3 linked regions of the Rhinolophus ferrumequinum genome follow. The protein of the gene in region 3 interacts with the protein of the main gene of each other region in a pairwise test. Links are inferred from orthologs where the notes say so. Each region holds a gene or a part of one and is shown on either strand. Other genes may lie near its edges. The genes, in order: RAP1B, KRAS and RALGDS.

The links.
Region 1: the proteins of RALGDS (region 3) and RAP1B interact in binary tests that used the Homo sapiens proteins (3 or more experiments, as listed by UniProt). The link is inferred for Rhinolophus ferrumequinum from reciprocal best matches to the Homo sapiens genes RALGDS and RAP1B.
Region 2: the proteins of RALGDS (region 3) and KRAS interact in a two-hybrid assay, tested with the Homo sapiens proteins (3 studies listed by BioGRID and IntAct). The link is inferred for Rhinolophus ferrumequinum from reciprocal best matches to the Homo sapiens genes RALGDS and KRAS.

What each region holds. Positions count from the first base shown.
Region 1 is NC_046293.1:64,832,819-64,836,564, forward strand, and holds the start of RAP1B (ras-related protein Rap-1b), read left to right. Parts: upstream 1-971; 5' UTR 972-1,154; intron 1,155-3,746. UniProt on the Homo sapiens protein: GTP-binding protein that possesses intrinsic GTPase activity. Contributes to the polarizing activity of KRIT1 and CDH5 in the establishment and maintenance of correct endothelial cell polarity and vascular lumen.
Region 2 is NC_046293.1:36,539,350-36,543,095, reverse strand, and holds the start of KRAS (GTPase KRas), read left to right. Parts: upstream 1-1,448; 5' UTR 1,449-1,580; intron 1,581-3,746. UniProt on the Homo sapiens protein: Ras proteins bind GDP/GTP and possess intrinsic GTPase activity. Plays an important role in the regulation of cell proliferation.
Region 3 is NC_046295.1:80,657,705-80,661,450, reverse strand, and holds the start of RALGDS (ral guanine nucleotide dissociation stimulator), read left to right. Parts: upstream 1-770; 5' UTR 771-817; coding exon 818-1,000; intron 1,001-3,746. UniProt on the Homo sapiens protein: Functions as a guanine nucleotide exchange factor (GEF) activating either RalA or RalB GTPases and plays an important role in intracellular transport. Interacts and acts as an effector molecule for R-Ras, H-Ras, K-Ras, and Rap.

The sequences.
Region 1 (3,746 bases), on a different chromosome or scaffold from region 3:
ACAAAACAGTACACCCAGGTAATATCTGCTTCCATGAACTCAGAGTTTCAGGCTTTCAGAATTCTCACAGTTTCACGCAATAATTGTAAAGTCAGTAAAGTTAAATTTATTTGAAATTCATTCATTCAGAATTCAATGACTCCCCGCCCCAAACCCCTACTTTACCCTGCACTTTGCTCTCTTTGAACCTCTCGCCCATCAAAACTTCGGTTCATAAAAAAGCCGATGTCTTGTAGGAAGGGTAGGTGTAGTTCAGTCTTTTCCCTAATAATGGTTAAGTTCCCGCACTTTTTGGAACCGAAAGTGCTTTCTGTTGCCCACCAGTCACATCATAAACCTACCTATGAGTAACCCTTTAAAGTGCCCGAGTCATGCATTTAAATAGGCGATTTATTTTATTCATATAAACGGTTGATTTAGGCTCAGAGTACAAAATTGTTTGGGATCATCGATTTGTTAACTGACTTTGGCAAAGTAAATTGGAAAGAGTTCACCCGGGTTAACACACCAGAGGATGAAATACTTGTCAATTCAAGAAAAAAACCTTCACGAGGCTCTAGGTGTGGACACTGCGCGCTGGGTTACTTCTCCAGCCACTTTCCCCAGCACAAAGGAATACGCAGTCACCAACTGTTTGGTGGCGTTAGTGACTGAATTCCAGTTTGCCTTAAAGACACCTTTTGAGTTTCGGAGGGTTTCTAAGCCCTTCACAATAGTGTAACCCGCTGACGTCCGGGAAGCCAACACGCGGATCCTCCCGGAGCCAGAGGGCCGAGGCCAGTTTGAAGGGGCGGTGGGGGCCGGAGAGAAACACCGCGGAGGAAACACCGTGAAGGGTACCGCGCGTGTCCGGCCGCCGCCGCGAAGGCGCGGAAGGCCCCGCCCCTCGGCTCCCCTCGCTCCGCCCCGCGGCCCCGCCCCTTCCCGGGCCTCGTACCCGCGCACCCCGCCCGCGGGCGGAAGCGAGAGCGAGGCTGAACGCCTGACGTCAAGGCGACACCGCCAAACCTCGCCCAGAGTCAGGCGTGTAAACCAGCCGGAGAGGCGGCGGCGGCGGCAGCGGCAGGACCGCCGTGGCGCCGGGACCAGCGACCCGGAGGAAGCGCGAGGCGCGGGGCGACGCTGGCTGCGGGGACTCGGTGACAGCGTGAGAGGTTCGCAGAGTGCGTGCGTGGCCGATGAAGGGAGCGGCGGCAGCGGCCGCGGCCGCGCGGGGCGGGGGCCCGGCGCCGGCTCAGAGGAGCGGGTGGGGTGCGGCGCGGGCCGGGCGGGGCGCGCGCGGCGGTCAGGGGCCCCGGCGGCGGCGGTCTCGGAGCGCGGCAGGTGGTGCGAGGGACCGGCGCCGGGCCGGCGAGCGCGCTGCCTCCCGGGCCGGCGGGGGCGAGCTGCTGCCGCCGCCGCCGCCGCCGCCGCGGGGAAACAGCGCGCTTTGCGGAAGGGGTCAAATGTCTGAAATATGGCGGAGGAAGTGAGAGCCCGAGGACCCCCCCCAGCACCACTCCTTTCTGCCCGCGGCCGCCTTAACCTCTCTCCTTGCCTGTAGTCCCCCGTCCCGGAGCCCCCTCGCTGGCCGCCTCGGTTCTCTTCCTGGTGTGGGTGGAAGTTAGAACGGAAACCAGAAAGTTGTCTTTTGCAAAGACCCAGCTTCCCCCAGCCCCGAGCCTGGGCGAGTGGCGTTCGGGGGAAACCACTCCCCGGCGCCCTGCAGGCTCGAGCCTGACAAGGAAAAAGTTTGCCTGAAACGGGGCTGGTTTGCTCCATTTGTTGAGGGAAGTGGCAGGAGGACGGCCGCGGAGGGAGCCCCACCTAGTCTGGCAGCAACCACTGCGTAGGGAAAAACTGTTAAAGGGGCCTTTCCCCTTCGTCAGCAAGAGGAAATCTTTTACAGAAGGAGAGAAAACCCAGGAAGTTTGTACTCTTCTCTTTTTCGCCATCTCGATTCTGTCCAATCCTAAAACTGACTGTCAGCGCCATGAATTTTATTTAAACCTACCTCCAGTGAACCGGAGCATCCGATTTTTCTTCTGAAAAAACTGAGGGCTTTTGGAGAAAAGATCATCCTTGCAGGTTTAAGCAGATTTGCTTTCCCTTCGCCTGCTCCCCCCCCCCCCAATCCTCTTTATTAGTTTAGAAAACCATTTTTGCCCTGCTACTCCTGTTTCGTATGAACATCAGCAGTTTTGGATTACAGTAACGGGAAGTCACGTTTTTCACGGGGTAGAAAGTTGACACTACATGAAGATTGTGATTTTTAATATTTTAAAATTATTTCAGTCTAATTGGATTTTTGTTTGATAATAGCATGTAATATATATCGAGTGCTGGTAACTTAAAGCTTCTAACTTGTAAATTCATTAACTCTCTTTTTTTGTAATTAGAATGCTGTTTGGACTTGCTCAACAAAACCTTATCTTAGCAAGAAGTAACTTATAAAAAAGGAAGACGTTCATTTAACTTCTAGTTCGTATCACTCCCAAAAGCTGACTCTTAAGTAGTATTTGAGTCATAATGGAGTCATGGGACTTTTTTAAGGCCCATAAAGGACTAATTTATTTAGATCATCCAGTCCCACCCTCTCATTTTATGAGGAGGAAACTGAGGCCTAGAAAAGATAACTAATTAGTAATCCTGCTGACTTTTAGGACTATCCTATAATAGGGTCCCTAGAGGAAGAAAGATGACATTTTTATAGTGAGTTACATTTTACAGAGGCTGATATTCCCATCATACCAGGAAAAAAAGGTGGATACCTTAGTGGAACTGGAAGTTTAGGTACTTTATTCCCAGGTGTTAGGAGAGGAGATTGATACTCAGGAAATTAAATAAAGTTAAGACACAGAGCCCTCAGTGATAATTTTATTTGAGCCCATCTCTGCACTACACAGTGTTTTTACTTGCATTTCCTTGTTTGGCATTCACAATAAATTGTGAGGCTGTCTTATCTGAGGAATCCCCAAAGTAAATCTTTGAAATACATATAGGCAGTTTGGTTTTTGTTTTTTTTGTTTTTTGGCAGTTTGGTTTTTAAGGTGCCAGGTACCAGGATACAACTGAGGAGCCCAGTAATAAATTGGCATAATTTTAAAATGTGGTGTAGGGCAAGAAAATGAATACTCTTCGTGTCTTTTGCCTTCCCCCTACCCCATGAAAGTCATCGCTCTTCCTGTCTATGACACATATCACTTCCTATCTTCTGTTGTCTTTATATGTATCTTTGTTATGTATCTATTCCACTAAATTGTGAACTCTAAAGACAGGATGTGTTCTTTGTATGCCCCAAAGCACTGGCATGGTACCTTGCACATAGACAATCCCAGTTAAGTGGAAGCACCATGAGGGTAGGAACTTTGTTTCATTCTCCACTGTATTCTTAGTTCCTAGAAACTTGCCTGTGTGTATAGTGTTTAGCATTTAGATTTAGGGATTAACTGTAATGAACATTTAAAGAGAGGATATTTGAAGAGAACTTTGTATCCCTTCAAAAAGAAACATTTCCACATTGGCTTTGGAATCTAACTTTACTAATTGATTTCCATTTTATCTTCAAAACAATCCTTTACTATAGAATTTCAATATTTTCTCTTAGCTGTATAAAGGGAAGATGAGCACCCATGGTAAGAAGCCACCCACCATGTAAGGAGGGCCTAGTCAAGTGTGATAGAGAATTGATCCACATACATAAGGATATTACCAAGTGTAATTTCCAATGTATTTTGGTAGAAGGCCTGTTATGCAGAGGTTGATAA
Region 2 (3,746 bases), on a different chromosome or scaffold from region 3:
GGAAGGATGGAGAGATGCTGTATCATAGATGATCTTTTATGGGGAAAAAAACTCATTAGAAGACATCTGAAGAAAGATTTATAAGTAGCAGTCAGAGGAAGTGTTGTGGATTTATAGTGGACGTGTGTTCCACGGTGTTCCACTTCCTCTCTTGTACCTGCTACCAATTGCTACAACAGGGCCAGGGCAACAGGAACAAATCCTGCAGATTACAGCCCACATATGGGGCAGGAAGAAAGGGTGACAGTTGGTGAAAGGCCTAGGTTAACAGATACAATAGTTGGGATTTAAAATAATTGTTGTATTCGTGTGGACAATTTACCTTTCTAGGTAGCGTATCCACGCAGACTCTGGCTATACTAGATTTAATTCTCATTGTTTGATGTGTTCACTCTCTGAATGTTAACTGGTTAATCTCAATCTTCTAATTAATGTTTGAATGATTTTCCTCAGGTCTAAACTATCAAGGGCATTTGTACTTATTAACTTGGGTTCTGCTGGTGCCATCAGGGGCAATGAATACATTTGAGGTCCCTGTTCAGAGTCACCTGTGACCGTTTCAAAATATCCATTAGAAACAACCACCCAAAACAACAGACCCCTTCCCACATAAGATTAAAGACGAAAGGGTCTGTCAGGTTTGTTTGGGCCTGGGGCTAGGTTCCCCCCCCTCGACCGTCGAGGCTGGTAATAATCAACCTTGATCCGGAAGCCCCAGGGTGGAGCACTGCCTGCCACGTCTCCCCCTCCCACATTTGGTGACTGCATGTTTATTTACATGGAATAAATTATAGTAAATGAAAGTCACAACTGTAGGCCGACCCCGAGGGGTGGCGGGATTTTCGCAGCTTCTCTGTGTAGAACCGAGAGGGGTGCGGCAAAGTCGCTTATGGTTGTCTCTCCGGGGGGGGGGGGTGTGTGCGTGTGTGCGTGTGTGTGTGTGTGTGTGTGTGTGTGTGTGTGTGTGCGCGTGTGTGTGTGTGTGGCCCACCGAGGGTCCGTCCGGTTCCGAATCTGCGGCTGCGGGTTCCGCTCCGCTGCTAGAACCGAGGGGCGGGCGGCCGCTTGGGTCCAGCAATGGCCCCCGCCGAGGCGCCGCCCAGACCCTCCAGCTCCACCTGTCCGGCTCCCTCTCCCTCCGCCACTCTAGCCACGGCTTTCTTCAGTCGGCCCTCGCTCCTCCTCCGCTGGCCTGTCCCCCTCCCCCGGAAAGGCCCGGCCCCCTCCTCCACCCCGGCGGCGCTCGTCGGCCCTCTCTTCCCTCTTCCCTTACCGCCCTCCGCCGCTCCCTCCCCGCACACCCGTCTGGAGAGGAATCGAGCACCGAGCGCGTCGATAGCTCTGCCCTCTGCGGCCGCCCGGCCCCGAACTCATCGGTGTGCTCGGAGCTCGATTTCCCTAGGCGGCGGCCGCGGCAGCGGAGGCACAGCGGCGGCGGTAGCGGCGGCGGTGGCGGCGGTGGCGGCTACTCGGCCAGTACTCTCGGCCCCCGCCATTTCGGACGGGGAGCGAGCGCGGTGCAGGCACTGAAGGCGGCGGCGGGGGCCAGAGGCTTGGCGGCTCCCAGGTGCGGGAGAGAGGTACGGAGCAGACCACCCCTCTTGGGCCCCTGCCCTGGTCCCGACCCTTCTCGCCCGCGCCGGGCGGGGCCGGCGGCGAGTGAATGAATTAGGGGTCCCGGGAGGGGCGGGAAGGGGGCGCGGGCGTGGAGCCGGGGAGAGCGAGCTGGCGGACGCTGTGGGGGTGGTCTGCAGCGAGAGGCGTGGGGACACGGCGACGCGGGCAATGGGGAATAGGCGGTGCGGGGCTGAGGAGGGTGAGGCTAGAGGCGGCCGCCGCTTGTGCTGCTTCCTGGACGGGGAACCCCTTCCTTCCTCCTCCCCTAGAGCTGCGACTGGAGGCGGCCGGGGAGAAACTCGCCGGCCGGGCGGGCTGCCCCTCCGGGCGGTCGGGTGCGGTGGAGGTTACTCCCGTTGCGCTCCAGTCTCCCTTCCCCCTTGTCTCTCTCTTTCTTTTTCTTTTTCTCCCCCCCCACCTCCCTCTCTCCCTTCGCTCCCGCACCTCTTCCTCCCTTTCCAGCACTCGGCTTGCCTCGGCTGCTGCCTTCCCTGCTGCATCTAGCATCTCTAGGACCAAGGAATAAACTTCTCCCTCGAGCGCAGACGGGACGGATAGTGGTCCTTTTCAGTGTGTAGGGGGATAAATGAGTAAGGGGGGAGGTCACGTTTTGGAAGAGTATAGGCAGGTGCTTCGGGACCACTGTTTGAGGTTATTGTGTTTGGGGGAAAAAATGCATCTGCAGCCGAGTTACTGACTGCTCCCCTCCCCCATGTATGGGCTGTGACATTGCTGTGGCCACAAAGGAGGAGGTGGAGGTAGAGATGGAAGAACAGGTGGCCAACACCCTACAACATAAAGCCTGTGACTTAGTGAAAAGAAAAAAGTGAATCCCAGGAGGTCTCCTTTGCTTTGTCAAGTTCAAACACACGCAGAAAACCCGCAGAGCAGAAGCAGGGGCTTTTCTCTTGCTAGTTGAGTAGGCTTTTCTCTTGCTTTTTGAGTGTAGACAGTAATAGCCAAAATCATACTTGAAGTTTAATTTGCTTGTTCTTGTCCTTTCTTTTTCCAGGGTAATCTCTTCTGTATGACCCTGATCCTAACAAATTTGACATCCATCCCAAGAGTTATTACAGTTCTCTTAAACAGCACTCACACAATTTCTTGTCACTTATTTACAAGAGGAGTTAATTGTAGCAATCTGCCAGCCAACTGCTTGAAATAGCTAGCTGGCTTTCTTAAATCTTGATATCTATGAAAACCAGAGGCTAAGGTATTTTATAATTTTAAGGTATTTTATGATTATAAAGGTATTTTATAATTTTTTACACAGTATACATGTTGCATTTGTAATGGAAAATCATTTACAAAGAAATTACAAAGGCAAAAATATCTGTTCATAAATCATCAGAATCAACCGTATGAGTGATGTCACTCTTACGTGACTAATGTCCAAAATGCTGACTTGATCATGTAACAGACTATAGACATCAAATATGGTATCAGAACTGCTTGCTTAAAGATGGTAGATGAGATGATGATTCAGTTCTATGACAAATAAAAGTGAATTTGTTTTTCCTTACCTAAACGTTGGGTTGTAGCTTTTGTAGTTTTGGGTGAGGAAGCTCCTTCTGGCATTTCATCTTCAGTGAGACTACCTGGGAACCCAGTTGTCTGTAGTGGACTTAAATGTTACTTGATTTTTAAAATTCAATTCAAGGATTTTTTTCAGAAACTACCACTGGATAACACATAGACCAGATGGTGTGTCTGCCTCAGAGTTCACACATGTATATACAACTAAGCTCTAATCCAATATCTGTCCACAGGATCTCCTAGGCTAGCAAACTTTTTGGTTTGTAAGGACCCCTTTACACTCTTAAAAATTACTGAAGATCCCAATATGGGGTATGTCAATATTTACTATCATAGAAATGAAAACTGAGAAGTTTAAACATTAATTCATTTAAAATAGAAATAATTAGCCCATTACTTGGTAACACAAATAGCATTTTTTTATGAAAAATAACTTTTTCAAAATAAAAACCAAAAGTAGTTAGAAGAGTGGTATTGTTTCAGACTTTTGCAAATCTCCTTAATTATATGGATTAGTAGAAGGCATCTGGATTCCTATCTCTGCTTCTGTATTCAGTGTACTGTGATCACACATCTGGAAGACTATAAACTTG
Region 3 (3,746 bases):
GTCCCCCCAACCAGGACAGTGGCAGGTGCTCCAGCTGGCATTTGCCTTCTTGATCCCTTACTCTTGAATGTCTATAGGCCCCAACCCCTATATGACTGGTCTCGGTTTTGCCCTCACCTCCCTGGCTGTAGGGCAGAAAGGAGATAGTACAGGCAAAGGCCCGTCCCCACACCACACACACCCCAACACTCAGGCCTTCCAAATGCACACGTGCACCGAAGTCACTGTTCCAGGACTCAGGAGAGTGTAGCAAGGCACAGGCACCAGCCGAGTGCTACACATCAGTAACCCAATGTGGCCCTCTCGGATGAAGAAACTGAGGCTCAGAGAGGTTAAGCAACTTGTACAACGCCACAGTGCTAGGGAGGGGCTTACCTGGAATTCGTGGGAGGTTGATCTGACTCCAGGGCCACCTGACCACACGTACACAAGTCACATACACAACACATACGCTGCCCCAGCGCACGCACCCACACAAGGTGCATAACCGCGGTACCCATAGTCCCCCCCCCCCCCCCCACACACACACACACACCACACACCACACACCACACACACCACACACGCTCTATAGGACACAGCCAGCAGGCTCGCGGGGGCGCCCACGCTCCCACAACACGCCCCCGGCATCTCCGGCCCCACCCCTTCACGCCGCCGGCCCCGCCTCCGAGGCGCCGGCCCCGCCCCCGGCCTGACCTCAGCGGGGCCGGGCGGCGGGCGCAGAGCGCAGGCAGCGCCGAGCCGCGCGGGCCTCTGCTGCCCGCGCCGCCTCGGGTCCCGCGGCCCGGCCGGCCGCCGGCGCCGCTGCGAGCCGTCCATGGTGCAGCGTATGTGGGCCGAGGCGGCCGGGCCTGCGGGCGGCGCCGAGCCGCTGTTTCCGGGCTCCCGGCGGAGCCGCAGCGTGTGGGACGCCGTGCGCCTGGAGGTGGGCGGCCCCGCCAGCTGCCCGGTGGTGCTGCACAGCTTCACGCAGCTCGACCCCGACTTGCCCCGCCTGGAGGTGAGTGAGCCAGGTCGGCCTGACCCCGCGGCCCAGCGTCCTGATCGTTTGGGGGGAGGGTCCTTCCGCAGAAATCCCCCTCGCTGTAACCTTACGGCAGCAGGTGGGCGTGGGGGCCGCCGGCACAGCGGGTGCAACAATGTAGGGACCAGAACCGGGTCTTTGTGACCCTATTTATCCGTCCCAATGCCTACCCTCACCGATCCCAGGTGTGCTGGCCTCGTGCCCCTGCAGCCCAGGTAGACCTGTTTCCGCGGGCTGTCACTGTCTGTTTAGGGCTGTGAACTTCCCGACATTAGGGGCTGGGCCATATTTCATCTCCATTGCCAGTCCCAGCCTGCACGGGCAGTTAGGCTTCGCAATCAGGTGGCGAACTGGTAGGGTGGCAGAGTCCTAGAATCCTCAGAGGGCTGGGGACCACAGTGGCCTTCCAGACGGCTCCACTTTGGGGTCAGACTCGGACTGGATGTTCAGGGCTGTTCAGAGGAGGTGGGTTGGAGGCGGAGCAGGCCTCCAACCTGTGGGGCCAGGTGTCCAGGCTGGAAGGTTGGGACAAGGCCCTCTCATGTCTGGATGGGGTGACTGACTCATTTCTGCTTGATTAGAAAATGAATTTGTAAGGATTTGGGAGGATTCAGAGAAGGGGGGATGTGTCTGTCACTAATGGAGGTGGGGGTAACTAGATGAGGGCTGGGACTCTTTCTAGTGTGCTCTGCACAGTGAAGCCCAGTGGGTCATGGGGGCAGGCAGGTGGGGCCGGGAGTGGTGCCTTCCTCCTCCTGCCTGACTGTGCACCTGACTTCAGAGGTAGCAGATGCAGGATGGACCCTGTCACCCTGCCCTGCCTGGGCATGGGGCCTGGACAGGCCAGCCCCGGGTTGGGGGCTCAGCAGGTCAAGGCCGAGCCAGAGCCTTAACAGTGAAGTTCCTGAGCCCCCGTGCTGGTTAGGGCCCCTTTGGTGTCCCCCCCCAGCCCTTCACTTTAGGCCCCCATGTGTTGTACTTGCCAGCAATTTTCAGCCTGGTTTTGTGCCTCTGCATGTCCCTAGGGCCTGGATGCATATTTGCCCAAGGATAAAGTGTGTCTCCCTGCCCAGCGTGGGGCCAAGGCAAGGGGTTGGAGGGCGCTCTTGGTGAGGGAACTGCAGGACTGGGAGACCCTTTTCTCCTGAGCTGGGCGGGTGGCCAAGCCCCGCGTGTTCCCGGACCCTCATCCACCCACTGCTCTGGCTTTCATTGGCAGCTGGAGCAGACCCCTGGGAGGCCTGACACCAGCCTAGTACTCATCTGACTTTCATTATGTCTGGCAGCCAGTCGGGCTTTGTGTGTTGGGAGGGTCCGGCCTACACGCTCACAGGGGCCGGGCAGGTTCCTGGCCAGGGTGGGGTGAGCTGTTTGGCTCACTTCTCTCCCTCCCCCCCACCTCTCTGTCCATCTGTCCATCCCTGGGGACCTGAGGGAGAGCCCTACCCTTGCCCAGGGGTCGCCTTCTCTCTCCTTCCCCTCCCCCCGCACCCTCCTGCTGCTCTCCCTCACCCGGCCTCTGCACTAGATCCAGGCCATGGCCACTGTTTAGAAATCAAAGGGGAAGCTTCTGGCTGGGGCAGGAAAATCAGGGTCCTGGCAGAAGAGGAGGCCAGTGCCGGAAATCAAACACAATGACCATTTACTATGGGCCGGGGGAGGAGGGCAGGGGGGCGGGGAAGTCCCTGTCCCTCCTGCCAACACCTCCCCCACCCCCCCCACCCTCAATCCTGGGGCTGATTTCCTGGTCGCTGTAGCGTGCCAGAGCTGAAGCAGCTCTGCTTGTGGTCCCTGTCCTCTCTGGAAACCACCAGGCAGTTACTGCCTTCTCTCCCCTGTTCCCCATTTTCCTTCCAATCCTCTCTGGGCTGCCAGATGTCCTTGCACATCTGGGCATCCACTCCTGTCATCTTGATTCTAAGCCAAGCCACCACTAACCCAGCTTGGCCTGTGCAGTTCTGTGCTTTCTGGCGGTCACCTGGCCCATGCCCCCATCTCTAGACTGGCCACTGCCTTGACCAGGCAGTTCCCAAGTCTGTAGCACCTAATTTTGGACACCACCAAATAATTTGCGGACACCACCACCTCATTCCAACTGGCTTTGACCAACCCTCCAGAGTGGGTGCCAACCCCCTTTATAGGAGACTGGAGCTCCGAGAAGTGAAGTCTCTGATCTAAATGTATGCACAGCCAAGGACACAGGATTGGGAGGATTTGAACATGGGCTGTGTTCTCTGTTAGGCGCCTGCTGTGTGCAAGAGCCCACAGGAATCAGAGAAAGATCACTATTGGGGTAATTTTAGGTTCACCAGAGGACTGTGGAGCTCTGGGGGGCACAGAACCAGGCCCAGGCAGCCCAGAAGCCCCCGGTCAAGTGAGGGGTTGGGATGCTTATAGACCAGAGGAAGACAAAGTGCCTTGGGCTAGAGGACACTGGGGAGAGCTTCCAGGAAGAAGCAAGTCCACAGCTGGACCCCAGCGGTTTACAATAATAGCTCACATGAGCCAGCACTTTGTGGGAGGCCTTGTTCTAAGTAATTTGCATGCATTATGTCCTTTTGTGGTCAGGACTATCAATAGCCCATTTGACAGATAAAGCAACTGAGGCACGAGAGTTAATTAGATTGTATCACCTCACTAAGCTGGTAAGTGGCAGAGGTGGAATCCTGACCCAGACAGTGTGCCTGCAAGGCCTGAACGAAGAGGTGGATCGGAATGAGGA